2 linked regions of the Drosophila melanogaster genome follow. The protein of the gene in region 1 interacts with the protein of each later gene in a pairwise test. Each region holds a gene or a part of one and is shown in the gene's direction. Other genes may lie near its edges.

Evidence for each region.
Region 2: the proteins of Ccp84Ae (region 1) and mmd interact in a two-hybrid assay, tested with the Drosophila melanogaster proteins (one large-scale study listed by BioGRID).

What each region holds. Positions count from the first base shown.
Region 1 is NT_033777.3:6,688,773-6,694,525, reverse strand, and holds Ccp84Ae (Ccp84Ae), read left to right. Parts: upstream 1-2,767; 5' UTR 2,768-2,822; coding exon 2,823-2,834; intron 2,835-2,952; coding exon 2,953-3,567; 3' UTR 3,568-3,639; downstream 3,640-5,753. Other genes in the region: Ccp84Ad, read right to left, coding at 1,068-1,655, 1,717-1,728; Ccp84Af, read left to right, coding at 4,340-4,351, 4,410-4,853.
Region 2 is NC_004354.4:15,968,717-15,976,174, reverse strand, and holds the start of mmd (mind-meld), read left to right. Parts: upstream 1-3,107; 5' UTR 3,108-3,970; intron 3,971-7,458. Other genes in the region: Or13a (odorant receptor 13a), read right to left, coding at 31-130, 683-1,114, 1,398-1,750.

The sequences.
Region 1 (5,753 bases):
CGACTATACAGGCTCTGCCGCTGACTCGGACCCGAAATATGTGTGTCCAATTGCGGCCAACAAATAATTTGCTCCACATTTCCCACACAAAGGTCTAGCGCAACCACATTAGCCAGACCTCTTGGCCTTTCGCTCCTCTTTGTTGGCCAGCTGGGTTGCTCGACTTGGGCTTGGCTTTGGCAACGGTTGAGTGCCGGCACACGGGGGATAATAATCGACAGCCTCGGCACTGGCCAATGCCCACCTTGGATCCCATTGAAATCACAACATGTGATATTTTGTTAAATACGCTCAAAAATTATGGTATACTTTTTTAAAGCTTAAAGAATCTACCTTAGGTGAACCTAATTAGCTTGAATTATGCTCTGGTTATTTGCGAATGAAAGCGTTCCGGAAACTATAAGATTTGTGTAATTTTCATCAGGATCCGGCTCCCTGTGTGTCAGTCTGCTCATATGAACTACGAGATATCGAACTTATAAAACTTGCTGATGATATCTAAAGCGTATCTGATAGTCTATTATCAACTGCATATTTTATTAAGCTTAGTTTGATTAGATAGACGCGCAGGGTATAAACATATCATACATTTTTAAAAAAATATTTAAAATAATATTGTTATATCTATAACTCTCAAGAATTAACTTTTTTATGTTGACTCTGTTAGTTTTAATCATAACTTCATCAATACCCTATCAATATAAAAATATCTAATGCAATCAAAAATATAAGCTGATGGTTTTAAAATTGCACATATTATTTAAACAAAATATTTGAGATTTTTTTTTTATTTTTGTAAAGATTTTGCAGTATTTTTTATAGGTATTAAATATGGCTAACACATCTAATTGAAACACATTAGAATGTCATTAATGAAGACGCTATCTCCTTGACTCAATTTTATCCGGATAAAACAAATCCGAAATTGTTTCAGCTGCCGTTGATGAAAATAGATGATCAATAGATGAAAATAAAAAAAAAAATTTTTTTTAATATTTGTGTGTATTTGTAGGAGGCAATTGTAAAACTATAACAGTAATGGGTTGAGAAACGTAAAATGACAGTTCTTAGTGGTGGTAGGCAACAGCGGGGGCGGCGTAGGAGGTGTAGGTAGCAGGAGCGGCGTAGTGGGCAACTGGAGCCACGGTCTTGACCACGGCGGGAGCAGCGTAGTGGGCAACCGGAGCCACGGTCTTGACCACAGCGGGAGCAGCGTAATGGGCGACAGCAGGGGCGGCGTAGTGGGCAACGGGAGCGGCGACGGTCTTCACAACGGGGGCAACGGCGACGGCCTTGACCAGGGGCTCACGGTTGACAACGGCGTTGAATCCGTTGATGGGATCGGCGGTGTACTGGACGGTTCTCTTGTAGCCATCGGCGTCGATCAGGGAGTACTCTCCGCGGACCACGTCGCCATCGCGCTCCTCCACCTGGCTCTTGGAGTCTCCGGAGAGGGAGTCCTGAACATCGTAGGCGTACTTGTACTGGGGATGGGGATCGTACTCCTCGGCGGCCTTGGCAAGAACCGGCTGGGCGTGAGCAACGGCGACAGGTGCTTGGGCGTAGGTGGCCACGGCGGGGGCGGCGTGGTACACCTGCTGGACGGGCAGAACACCGGCGCTGGCGGCGGCGATCAGGGCGAAGAGGGCGATGAACTGAAAGAGGGAAAGCAGTTAGGATGTGGGTCTTTGGCGGGGCTAAGTCCTCGGGGCGAACCTTGAATGCCATTTTGATTTGGATTGATTTGGCTGCTGCTGCTGCTGCTGTTGGTTGTTGGAAGGCAAAATGAACTGTGAGGGCTACTGGGCCAACACTTGGCTTATATACCGAGATGGAGCTATTTCTTCAGCTGCTGCTACCATTGAATGGCCGAACTCGCTTTTGCCGGCGGGCCACGCTCTTGGCGTAATTAGTGCAATTCATTTATGCTAAACGTGTGTGGAGAGGGAAAAGTGAAGCTTGAAGGCGTGCTCAATCTTTGTATCTCTGTGTTTTGTCATCAAATAACTTCAATTTATCCGAGAGAAACGGAGAGCGTGCGCTGTGACATCACTGCTTACTAAATCCAGTTAGCTTACAAGACAGTTAATATTGTGGCAAAAAGGTCGCTTAAAAAGATATTAACTCAAAACATCTAAATTATCGTAGCTTTATTAAATTAAAATTATTATTTTTTATCACCCACCTTTGGTTTCCAAAATTTGAAGATAGTTCACAGGCGAACAGCTTTTTAACATGCTTAAAACTTTTTTTTGTAACATATTTGTAATATTTTATGTAGGTTAATAAAATTATACAACTTTGTAGGAAATGTGTTTTAAATACATAATAATCAAATTATGATCCCAACATAAAATATTCATTATACCTCACCAAGACAAACCTATGGATACAAACTCAAAACGTATTTAATAATTTGACTAGCAAATATTTAAACAAATAAGATCAGAACTTTTATTCCCTTTTTATAAAAAATGGGTTCAATTATACACACTTACTTTGTTGTACTTTCCAAAAGAAAAACAACAAAATTGAATAAGAAGACTCCAAGTTTAAGGAAAATAGTAATTAAAATTGGCTTGGCGTAATCAATTAAGTGCAGCTGGTTATTTCGACCGATCGAAATTGGCAGAACTGAAGAAGGTGCGTGACAATTTTTACATGCCACCGGCGCCGCTCGAGGTGATGCGCCAAAAATGAATTCCAATTAGGTGTCATCAATGTCACCAAGTAGCGTATAAAATAAACGGCCCACAATGGGTCAGACATTCAGTGTTTGGCTTCGGCTCAAGACAGCAGTTAATCAAATTCATCCAACTACAATGGCAGCAAAGGTTTGTGCTACCAATTGGAGGATAAACGTTCCGGGGGACTACTAGTGGATTACCAGACTGCCTTCGCCTTTTTATCTTGGAAAAAAAAATCCTAAAAAGAGTGTAATTTATTCCGCAGATTGTTATCGCTTTGGCTCTGTTCGCCGTGGCCCATGGCGCCGTCCTTAGAACTGCTGCTCCAGTGGCAGTGGCTTCTGCTCCGGTGCCAGTTTTGGCCAAGACCGTTGAGTTGGAGGAGGTTGATCCGCATCCTCAGTACACCTACAGCTACGACGTGCAGGACACGCTTTCCGGCGACAACAAGGGGCATGTGGAGGAGCGCGATGGTGACGTGGTCCGCGGCGAGTACTCCCTGATCGACGCCGATGGCTTTAAGCGCACCGTGACCTATACCGCCGATTCCATTAACGGATTCAACGCCGTCGTCCGCCGTGAACCCCTTGCCGCTGTTGTGGCCGCCGAGCCGTTGCTGAAGGTTGCTGCCCCATTGGTCAAGGCCGCTCCAGTCGCCCCCATCGCCCCTGTCGCCTTGGCCGCACCAGCTCCCATTGTGCGCTCCGCTCCAGTGGCCGTCGCTGCTCCTCTGATCAAGTCCGCTCCCCTAGCAGTTGCCGCTCCGTTCGTCCGCTCCGCCCCTCTGGCGGTGGCTGCTCCCGCTCCCGTTCTGCGTACCGCTGCCTATGCCACGCCTCTGCGGTACACCGCCCCTGCGTACACCGTCGCCCAATTGTAAACACCCATGCGACCGCTGTTATTTTGAACCCTTGTTTTGTTTCTATGATAATAAAATGTGATTTGATATGTTAATTTGAATTGTGGTTTTATTTGGGCTTAGAAATTAAGTTATATTTTTACCAACTCAATTGAAATTCAGTTCAAGCATATTTCAAAGCTTTCTTAATTGTTCCCATGATTTGACTAGTATCCGTAAAAACTCTTATTTAATCCATCAGTTTGCTTTTAAGCAGACTAACTTATTCTTGATTCTTGAAGTGTGCATTGAAATATATTTATTATTATCGTCTAATGTGCTTTTCAATTCAAAGTATGTAATCAGTGTAGGTCAGTTCCAAGCGTTTTGAGCTGCCCGGTAACATGATATACCACTCAAGGCAGAATGGTGAAAGCATTTAATTCGCAATAGGCACCAAAATCCGAGGGTCTCTCCCAAGACACTAAGCCGCACTAGATTTGGATGCGGATTGCATAAAAGTATCTCTGGCCCCCGGCGTGGGCAGTTGTAAGTGCCCATATTCCAGTCGATAAAGTAATAAGGTAAATAGCATAGCGGTAATACAATAATAAATGTATAAAATAAAAAGTGACAAAAATGATTTGCCCAACAGCGAATTAATCAGTTTCAATTCGTTATTCGCATTTTGCTTTGCACACGTTCAGTGGGTATAAAAAGCAAAGCTCGTGTTCCAGTAAATCATTCCACAGCTTCACCGTCTTCGCAGCAGTTAACGGATAACCACCACCAGCCCTCCTCCAAGTCCAGAGCCATGGCCTTCAAGGTGGGTAATCCTTACATGAATATCCGATCCTTTCAATTACCCCTCTTTTCTCCCACAGTTCTTCGCTGTTCTCGCCCTCATCTCGGCCGCCAGTGCCGGAGTTCTTCCCGTCCAGCAGGTGTATCACGCCGCCCCCGCCGTGGCCACCTACGCCCAAGCACCTGTCGCCGTTGCCCACGCCCAGCCGGTTCTGACCAAGGCCACCGAGGAATACGATCCCCATCCCCAGTACAAGTTCGCCTACGATGTCCAGGACTCCCTTTCCGGAGACTCGAAGAGTCAGGTTGAGGAGCGTGATGGCGACGTGGTCCATGGCGAGTACTCCCTGATCGATTCCGATGGCTACAAGCGCATTGTCCAGTACACCTCCGACCCGGTCAACGGTTTCAACGCCGTCGTCAACCGCGTTCCCCTGGATCACGTGAAGACCGTGGTGAAGACCGTGGCTCCTGTGGCCGTGGCTGCTGCCCCTATCCCAGTGGCCTACCACCAGCACCACTGAGGAACTCTCCTACTGATTTGTTGAATCCGTTTGTAGATCAAATAAATTGTTGAATATTTGTAAGCTGAAAGAAATCGAAACGCATTTTTCTTTACGTCTTGTAAGGGATCTCGCTCATTAGCAGGCATTAGTCAATCAAAATATTATACATATATTTATATATTGTATTGTTAAAGTAAATTCGTAATATTGAAAAAATCTAAGAATTACAAGTTACACAAAAGCACCCAGTAAGCAACTTAGATGACCATCAAGTGGGAGCCCGCCTGGTACCAACGAAAAACGTCACTGGAGCTGCTTACTCTGCATCACCTTGGCTCCTCTTAAATCCCTCTCCAGCATATGCACTTTGTAATCAATTTTCTGCCGGTAATAAGTCATTAAGGGCCCAAATTGATCAGGCGTTCGCGTCCGACCCATTTTACACCAATCAACGAAAATTGGGGTAGACATCCGATCGGAAAGAAACGCATCGATCGGAACATTTCAATAAAACCATCTGCGTCGAAGGCTTATTGAATTTAATGCATGTAATGCGGTCCGCTCTTGAAAACCAGTTAAGGTCACTATGCTGCAGCTTTGAAGTGGCCAGAAACCTTTCGCCAAGTCCCTCGATTATTGGGGTCCACTTGAGAATGATATACGCGACATCATGGGACCCAAACTACATATTCTCCTTATCTGACCAGCCAGCCGACTTTCCAGCCCGAACAAGTGCAAATATGCCAAGGTACCTCAAAGAGGACAGTAAACAGTGGACAACATACAACGGACGACGGACGACGGACGACGGACGACGGACGACGGACAACCGACGGCGAGGGTTAAGGTCAAAGTCAGTTGGCATTGTTAATTACCGTTGGAGCGAACGGACTTGGCTGCCCATTTCCATTCCCATTC
Region 2 (7,458 bases), on another chromosome or scaffold:
TATATTAAAATATTTACTGCCAATGCTTACAGTAACTATTTGAAAGCCAACCATGCAAATAAGTACGGAGGAAATCATTAGATTGGCCAGTAGAATTGGGTTGAAAAAGTCCTCGAGGCGCTTAGCAAAACTATTGGCAAAATCAAAGTAACATGTAATGGAATCATTGTAATAGAGTCGTTGTAATAGAATCATTGTAATAGAATCGTTGTAATAGAATCGTTGTAATAAAATCATTGTAATAAAATCATTGTAATAAAATCGTTGTAATAGAATCATTGAAATGAATCATTGTAATAAAATCGTTGTAATAGAATCATTGTAATAGAATCGTTGTAATAGAATCATTGTAATGAATCATTGTAATAGAATCATTGTAATAAAATCGTTGTAAAAGAATCATTGAAATGAATCATTGTAATAAAATCGTTGTAATAGAATTATTGTAATAAAATCGTTGTAATAGAATTATTGTAATAGAATCATTGTAATAGAATCGTTGTAAAAGAATCATTGTAACAGTATCGTTGTAATAGAATCATTGTAATAGAATCATTGTAATAGTATCGTTGTGATAGAATATTTGTAATATAATCGTTGTAATAGAATCATTGTAATAGAATCATTGTAATAGGATCATTGTAATAGAATCATTGTAATTGAATATTGGCACGATACCAACCTGATAATATTGTTGTGTTTTTCCACAATACGTTTGAGTCGCTCCAGCTGAATGCTCTCGGCCAATTCCGCATTGGAACCCGCAAATAAACCTGCGATTCGTTGGTGTAGCAAATGAAATTGGCCACAAGTGTAGGTTATGAAGAAGCCAAGAATGGTGTCCTCTGCAAACAAGGTGGTGACCACACAGATTCCCGCGTAGGAGGTGAAGATGTAGGTCATCACATATCGGATCCAACTGCTCTGGGCATCGTACGGAAAGATCATCTTGTAGGGAAACGGCTTGTTCTGTGCATCGAAGGCGGGTCCAAAGAAGATCTCCACCAGCGGCAGGACACAATACATTATGATCAGGCACGCTAGCAAGGATGTCATTATGCTGAAGGTAACCATGCGTCTGCGACACTCGGCGGCAACATTGTTTTTGGAAGAACTGGAACCCATCATATATTTATATATGTAAATAAAGATTTTCTTACAAATACAGTTTGAAGATGGGTATAGTTACTCAAAAGTCTATATTATCTCAAAACCACTTTAAGTGTCCAAAAGCATGCTTAGAAAGCAAAGTTTGCTCTTTTGCACACAACAATGTAGCACACTTTTCTGCGCATTTACTCAAGTAAGATTGCAAACCTCTATAGTTTTCAATGCTCTGCAGTTTAATGCGATGATCATTTAACATCGCTTATAATAACCCTAATGAATCGACTCACTTAGGTATCCAAATTTCGTAGGAAAAGTTCTCAATAAGCTGGCGGAATTTCCTCTGATTGAGGCGAAGATGGATGAGTCGGACAAAGTTCAGGACACCCATAAAGGTGGTGCAACAATTTTCCGTGGTGATAATAATGTCCGAAAGGTTGTTCAGCAAAAAGGCCGTCTGATAGCTGATTGTTATGCCCACAGATGCAATGACGTACCACGCCCACACGATGTAGGCGGTGGCCAATAAGGATTGGCTCCTCCATGGCCTCGATGATTCGGTTAATGGCCAAGAACCATTCAGTTTCAGCCAAACGCACTGAATGGGAAAGCTAAGTGCTTTGTAGGGATACGAATAGAACATGACTATCTGATAAATGCCACAGCACTAGGTACATCTTAAGGCATTTCTTTCATTTATAGCTTACCAACTGCGCCCTAAAATTACCACTTTTTTAATCATTTACCCTAATTGCACAGTAAATATTTTAGAAAGCGTTTGCACACAAGGCATATACTTACCACCTCATTAAGTGCCGAATATGAAATTTTGATCAAACGCATTTTCCAAGGAGGTGTGTGCCTGTGAAATCCATTAAACTATACTACTTGTGTGTATTTTAATTTTGCTTTATTTTGAAGAACAAAGTGCGTTTTGCTCTCGAAAAATAAACAGGTAAACAGGTGCACATATTTCAATTTTGTTTTCAATTTAATATATTCAAATTAAAAAGCAAAACTAAAAGTATAAACATGCAACCTGCGCCTGAAATCCGTAACACTTTTAGATATATATATATTTTTTTTTCAATTTCTTATACATATTATTTCATTGTAATTTTCCATGATTTTCCATTTATGTATGTTGGCTAACAATGCGGTCTGTATTTATTTTTAGGCTTTCATTCGCCCAAACTTCATTTCGAAACCAGTTAATTTAAATCAGGTCACTGCTAGCTGGGCGTAAGAAGGATATAGCTTCATTCAATTAGACGACGGGGGCGTGGCCAATCTGTGGCGTGGAACAGTGTGGACCCAGTTCTCTGTCCATTGTTCTGGCCAAGATCTCGACGGCCAGATAGACAGGCAGCCAGACAGAGATACAGAGAGACAGACAGACACGGCTAGATGGAAACGTATGTAGAGGCGTAGGTGTATACTACACTTCCTTTTACAATTACGCACCTTTGCACGAATACAATATACCCTTTTGCTCCACATAACGGACATAAACAGACGTACCCGGATTGTAAGACTCGTTGGGGCCAAGGAGTGGATTTTTTTTTTACCGACTTTCGGCGAGAGAGCCAGCGGCTGAGTGCCGAACACCAACCAACATCCATCCGAGGACCAAAAGGATGTGGCCCACACAGCCCGAGAGAGCCAAGATGCTGAATTGTGACGTGACAATAGAAGCGGAGAGCGAGAGATGTGGCCACTCGGCTGGGCTTGGTTTGAGATATATTGGTATGGGATGGGATGGCCGGGATTGGGAATCTCCCAGTTGAGATTCCGGTGCTCTGCGACTGCGTCGTATTTGGCTGACTGAAGAATGGCTGGTCGACTGGGTTGGCTGCCTGGTTTGCCTCCGGTTGGAGGCAATCGTTTTTCGCCTGGCCAAAATCCTGCAGACGTGTTCGAGAGCTTTAGAACGTTGTTTGCAATTGCGGAAAGCGGTTAGCGAGGCACGAGACACGGCGATAGTTTTTAATAGAAGAAGCAGCAGCAGCAATAAAAAAATAAAATAAATTAATACAAAAAACACAAAAAACATACAAAAACCAAAAAAAAAAAAAAACAAACAAACAAACAAAACGAAATACGAAAGCAGCAGAAAAGAGTGCAGATGCAGGAAATAGCCGTATAGTTCGCAGCCAGCGGAGCAATAGTTTATTGAGGAATAATCCCCGAGTCGGCGCCCAAAAAGATCCAACAAATACCCCAGAAACACAACTGAACAACCAGCCCAGGCAAAAGTATATACATATATATATATATATATATATATATTAACAAAGAAATTCGTTTTCAAATCCCAACACACCGTGAACTTAGAATATATATATATACATACGCGTATATATATATGTATATATATATATATATGGAAAAAAGTAAAAGAAAAGAGGAAAAACGAAATGCCGAACGGGTGGGCAAAATGTGAAAACCCAACAAATAACTACTCAGAATCAAATGTTTGATATAGTAACGTAACGAAACGCAACGCAACGCAGCTCTAAAATCGGCTACTAAATCAGCACATTCAAATCAAATATGGAAAATACAAAAATAGAATAAATATATATATATGTCTATATATGTGCACATATATGCGTGTATATGTATATGCTGATGGCGTAAGGATGAAAAGATCATAAAATACATATTTTATGAAAATTTTTTGCATATTTTTTTTACTGTTTGGCCAAAATAACAAACTGAGTGTGTTCATAAAGCAGTACAATGTAAACTTAAAAGCAAACTTAAACGCAAAACGGATAACAAATAATTCATAACTACTCTCCAACTACTGTTTCAATGGATTCTGGTTTTGATTTTTTTCGAATTTCCCGAATTTCCATTGGTGAGTACCGCAATTACGTTTATGTATTTTATATCTATCAAAAATCGCTACACATCCCATGCATATATATATATATATATAGTATATTTCGGTATATGTACATGGCCTCAAGGATTCCAAACTCTGGCAGATGGAACTGAAATAGTTTGGCTAGCTGGATAGTTGGATTGCTTTATGGCCGTAATTATACGGGGGAGGGGAAAATGTATACTTGGTCCAAAACACACACCACATGCCCAACATACTTACTATTATTGCGAATATGGTCCAACTCCCGACTCTCGAGCGGAAATGAGGCGCGGCTGACTGCGCATGACCAATGAATAATAGCGATACAGAAATGCTTTTATCCCACACTTTGTATTCCAATGCATATCTGGATATCCTCTCTCCATCTCGACGTCTCACCGTCTCTCCATCTCGTCATCCCTTCTCTGTCCATGCCGCTCCATTGGCATGCGAAGGAATTTGGAATTTTTTTTTTTTTTTTTTTTTTGGCAAAAGGACTCTGGCAATTCGAAGTGTGTCAGGACATCATCGCCTTTTTCAGCGTCGCTTGCAATGGTGCGCTCCTCCACCAACGCCAACTGAAGACACATTTGTTCACAATTATTTGGGGGTCTGGGCATGCGTTGCCATTGACCCATCTAACCACCCGCAGTTGTGCACGGCAATTCAAATCTCAACGTGCCCCAGTGCTTTCGATTGTTTTTAAACAATTAAATCCACCGCATAATCCCATGCCAGCCAAACGAAACACGTAACCGGATTTGAGATGATGGCAAAGTGATTCCAGGATGATTCCCCCTGCTGAGTCCTTGAGTTTGTGAGTTCTCGTTTAATGGTTGGTTAACTCGTGAGAAATCTGCGCTGGCAGTAAAGTAAACAAGCAGCGGGCAATTTGTTTATCAATCAAAGAAATGGTGTCGGAATTCCGCATTCGCGAGTGTGACAACGCCCAAATGTTTGCTGATCCATAAAGGAGAAGAGCTCCGCGATTAGATCGCCCTACCTACCACCACGCATCCTTCGAAGCTCGAACTTCCCTATCGTTTGGTAGCACATTGACTCCAGATGGACTTATTGGGGGCACAAATCAAAACGCGGCAAAACAATGGGGCAAAGACACAGATTAGGTCAAATAACAATGCTGCTATACACACGAAGAAAAAGGAATGAACTTGTGAGGGAAACTAAAGATGAATGGTTTGAATACAATACAGTTTTCTTTGCATACATTTAACGGACTGAAAAAAATCTTTTAAAACTGGTTATGCTAGGGAAAACATTATTTTTTCATATCCTGTTAACAAACATTTGGTATTTGATTAGTTTCCGGAATCCTTGAATTTTTCTTCGAGTGGCAAACTTATGGCTCTGCACCAGATTAGAAGCCATGACCTACGATTTGATATAATCAATCAAGGCTTGACTTGTTGCCTGTTCAATAAATAGTCAGGATATTCAGAATTCACAACAGTTGAAATCATTTACAAAACGCGGCTTTGTATGAGTAAATCTTTTCTGCGTGTGTAAAACTACAAAATGCTGCCCAATGCTAGTGAGTCAGATACTGCCAAAAAAACTTGTCGGTATCATGGAGTGAGCCAACTTTTTGAGAAACATAATAATGAAAGTTTTGTCAAAACGAATAAATTGGGAAACACTATACGATGGAGCTTCAGCTTTCCGTGCTGTTGTTACTCCATTTGATCGGGAATAGTTTTAATCAAGTTTTAATTGGCAAAGTTGCACAATGAGTGCAATCATTAGTCAGCAGACAAAAAATTGTGTGGCTGGCAAGAGGAATAACTCATTTTATTGGCCCACAGATCCACATCCGCACACATGTCTGCAGTTCCCATCTTTGGAATGCCGTCTAGTCGGAGGCTGCGCATTCGGTCTTTGGAGAGCCAGCCAGCCAGCCAGTCAGCCAGCCAGCCGACGACCACGACTCTCGCGTCCTTAATTTTCATCCCTTTATTTATTTATTTTCCTGTCAGCTGCCGCTGTCTGGTGTGTCTGCCCAAGGTTTCTGTTTCGCATTCTGTTTCTGAATTTGAATCTGAATCTGAGACTGAATCTGAGACTGAATCTGAGACTGATTCTGAGTCCGTTTCGGCCGTGGACGCCCACGACAGCGAGGGAAATATGTGGCCATCCGGAGAATAGATTAACAGGATACACCAGTAGTTAGGGACCTCAGCTCATCTACTCATCTTCATCTTCATCGCCCCTTCATCATCATCATGGGGGCTCATCTCATCTTGGGGCTTTAAATTATGCGACTTGAGTTGTGTTTGTTGGTAAGATGTTGTCATATGTATGCGACCAGCCACTTGGCCTGGAGAAGTACTCATCAAGGTGCCCAAAAGTATGCCACAATGTATTTAAAATGTGCATTCTCAACTCTTCAAGTTCCTTATGCTTGGGAATTGCTTGGGTGGTGTGTTTCTGAAAAATGGTCCATATATTTGTAATATATCATCAGAGTTATTAAAGCACACGAAGAACTGTCTAAAAGTATGCTACAATTGTGCGCAATTATTATACTATACTATGTCTGTTGGTTTAAACTTAACTTATGAAGGTTTCTAAAACTTCTAAAAGTATAAATAGTTAAGTTAAAATATTTATATGTAAAGCATACCATTTTTTCTGCTACAAATATAAATTACCATGTTTATACAATACTTGCATATATTATTTATGCCATATTAGCTTAGCACTTTTGACCGGTTTTTAAACGAATGACATAAAATCATTTGCACTAATAATGTCATTGGCTGGTGAATAAACTTTGTTTGGATACAGCTTTCTATTGGTCGAAGTTGCTTGTTTATTACATTTTTAAAAGTATATAATTGGATTTAGCTGAAATTTCTTAGATAATTCAAACACTCTCGCTTGCCATACGCAAATTGTGATATGCATTCATCTTTTTAATGCAATTAAATGTTATGACAAAACTTTGAAAATAAGTTACTTCTCAGTTGTTGTTTTATAAATTGAAACCATTCTCGTTGTTATCCTTTTCGTTAGTCCTTTTACTCCTTGTAATTTTCCATGTGGGCCACTGTCGCCTCCTTTTGCGGCAATAAATTTACTCACTGCCTTTTCGCCGAAATGACCCAAATTTCAGGATGCCCTCCATATAAGGGAAAATTCAATAAATTATTGCTAAGCCTTTGGAAATTGTGCAGAACCTGTTGATTCTGCAGCCGCCGCAACTAAGCGCTTAATTAAATTTTAGTCGGAATTTTCACGTATATGTATACGCATTTGATATTTTGGAAACAGGCAAAGTCAAAAAAAAAAAAAAAAACTTATCATATATAATATTATTGCCAATAAGATACTATTTATATTACGTTTTATTGAAGTCGAGCACAATTTCAATATCCCTGGATTGCATAAGCTTATGTTTGAAACAAGTAATTTGAAACTGATTGCTTGCTGGGGCAAAAGAGAAATCACAGTAATTGCAG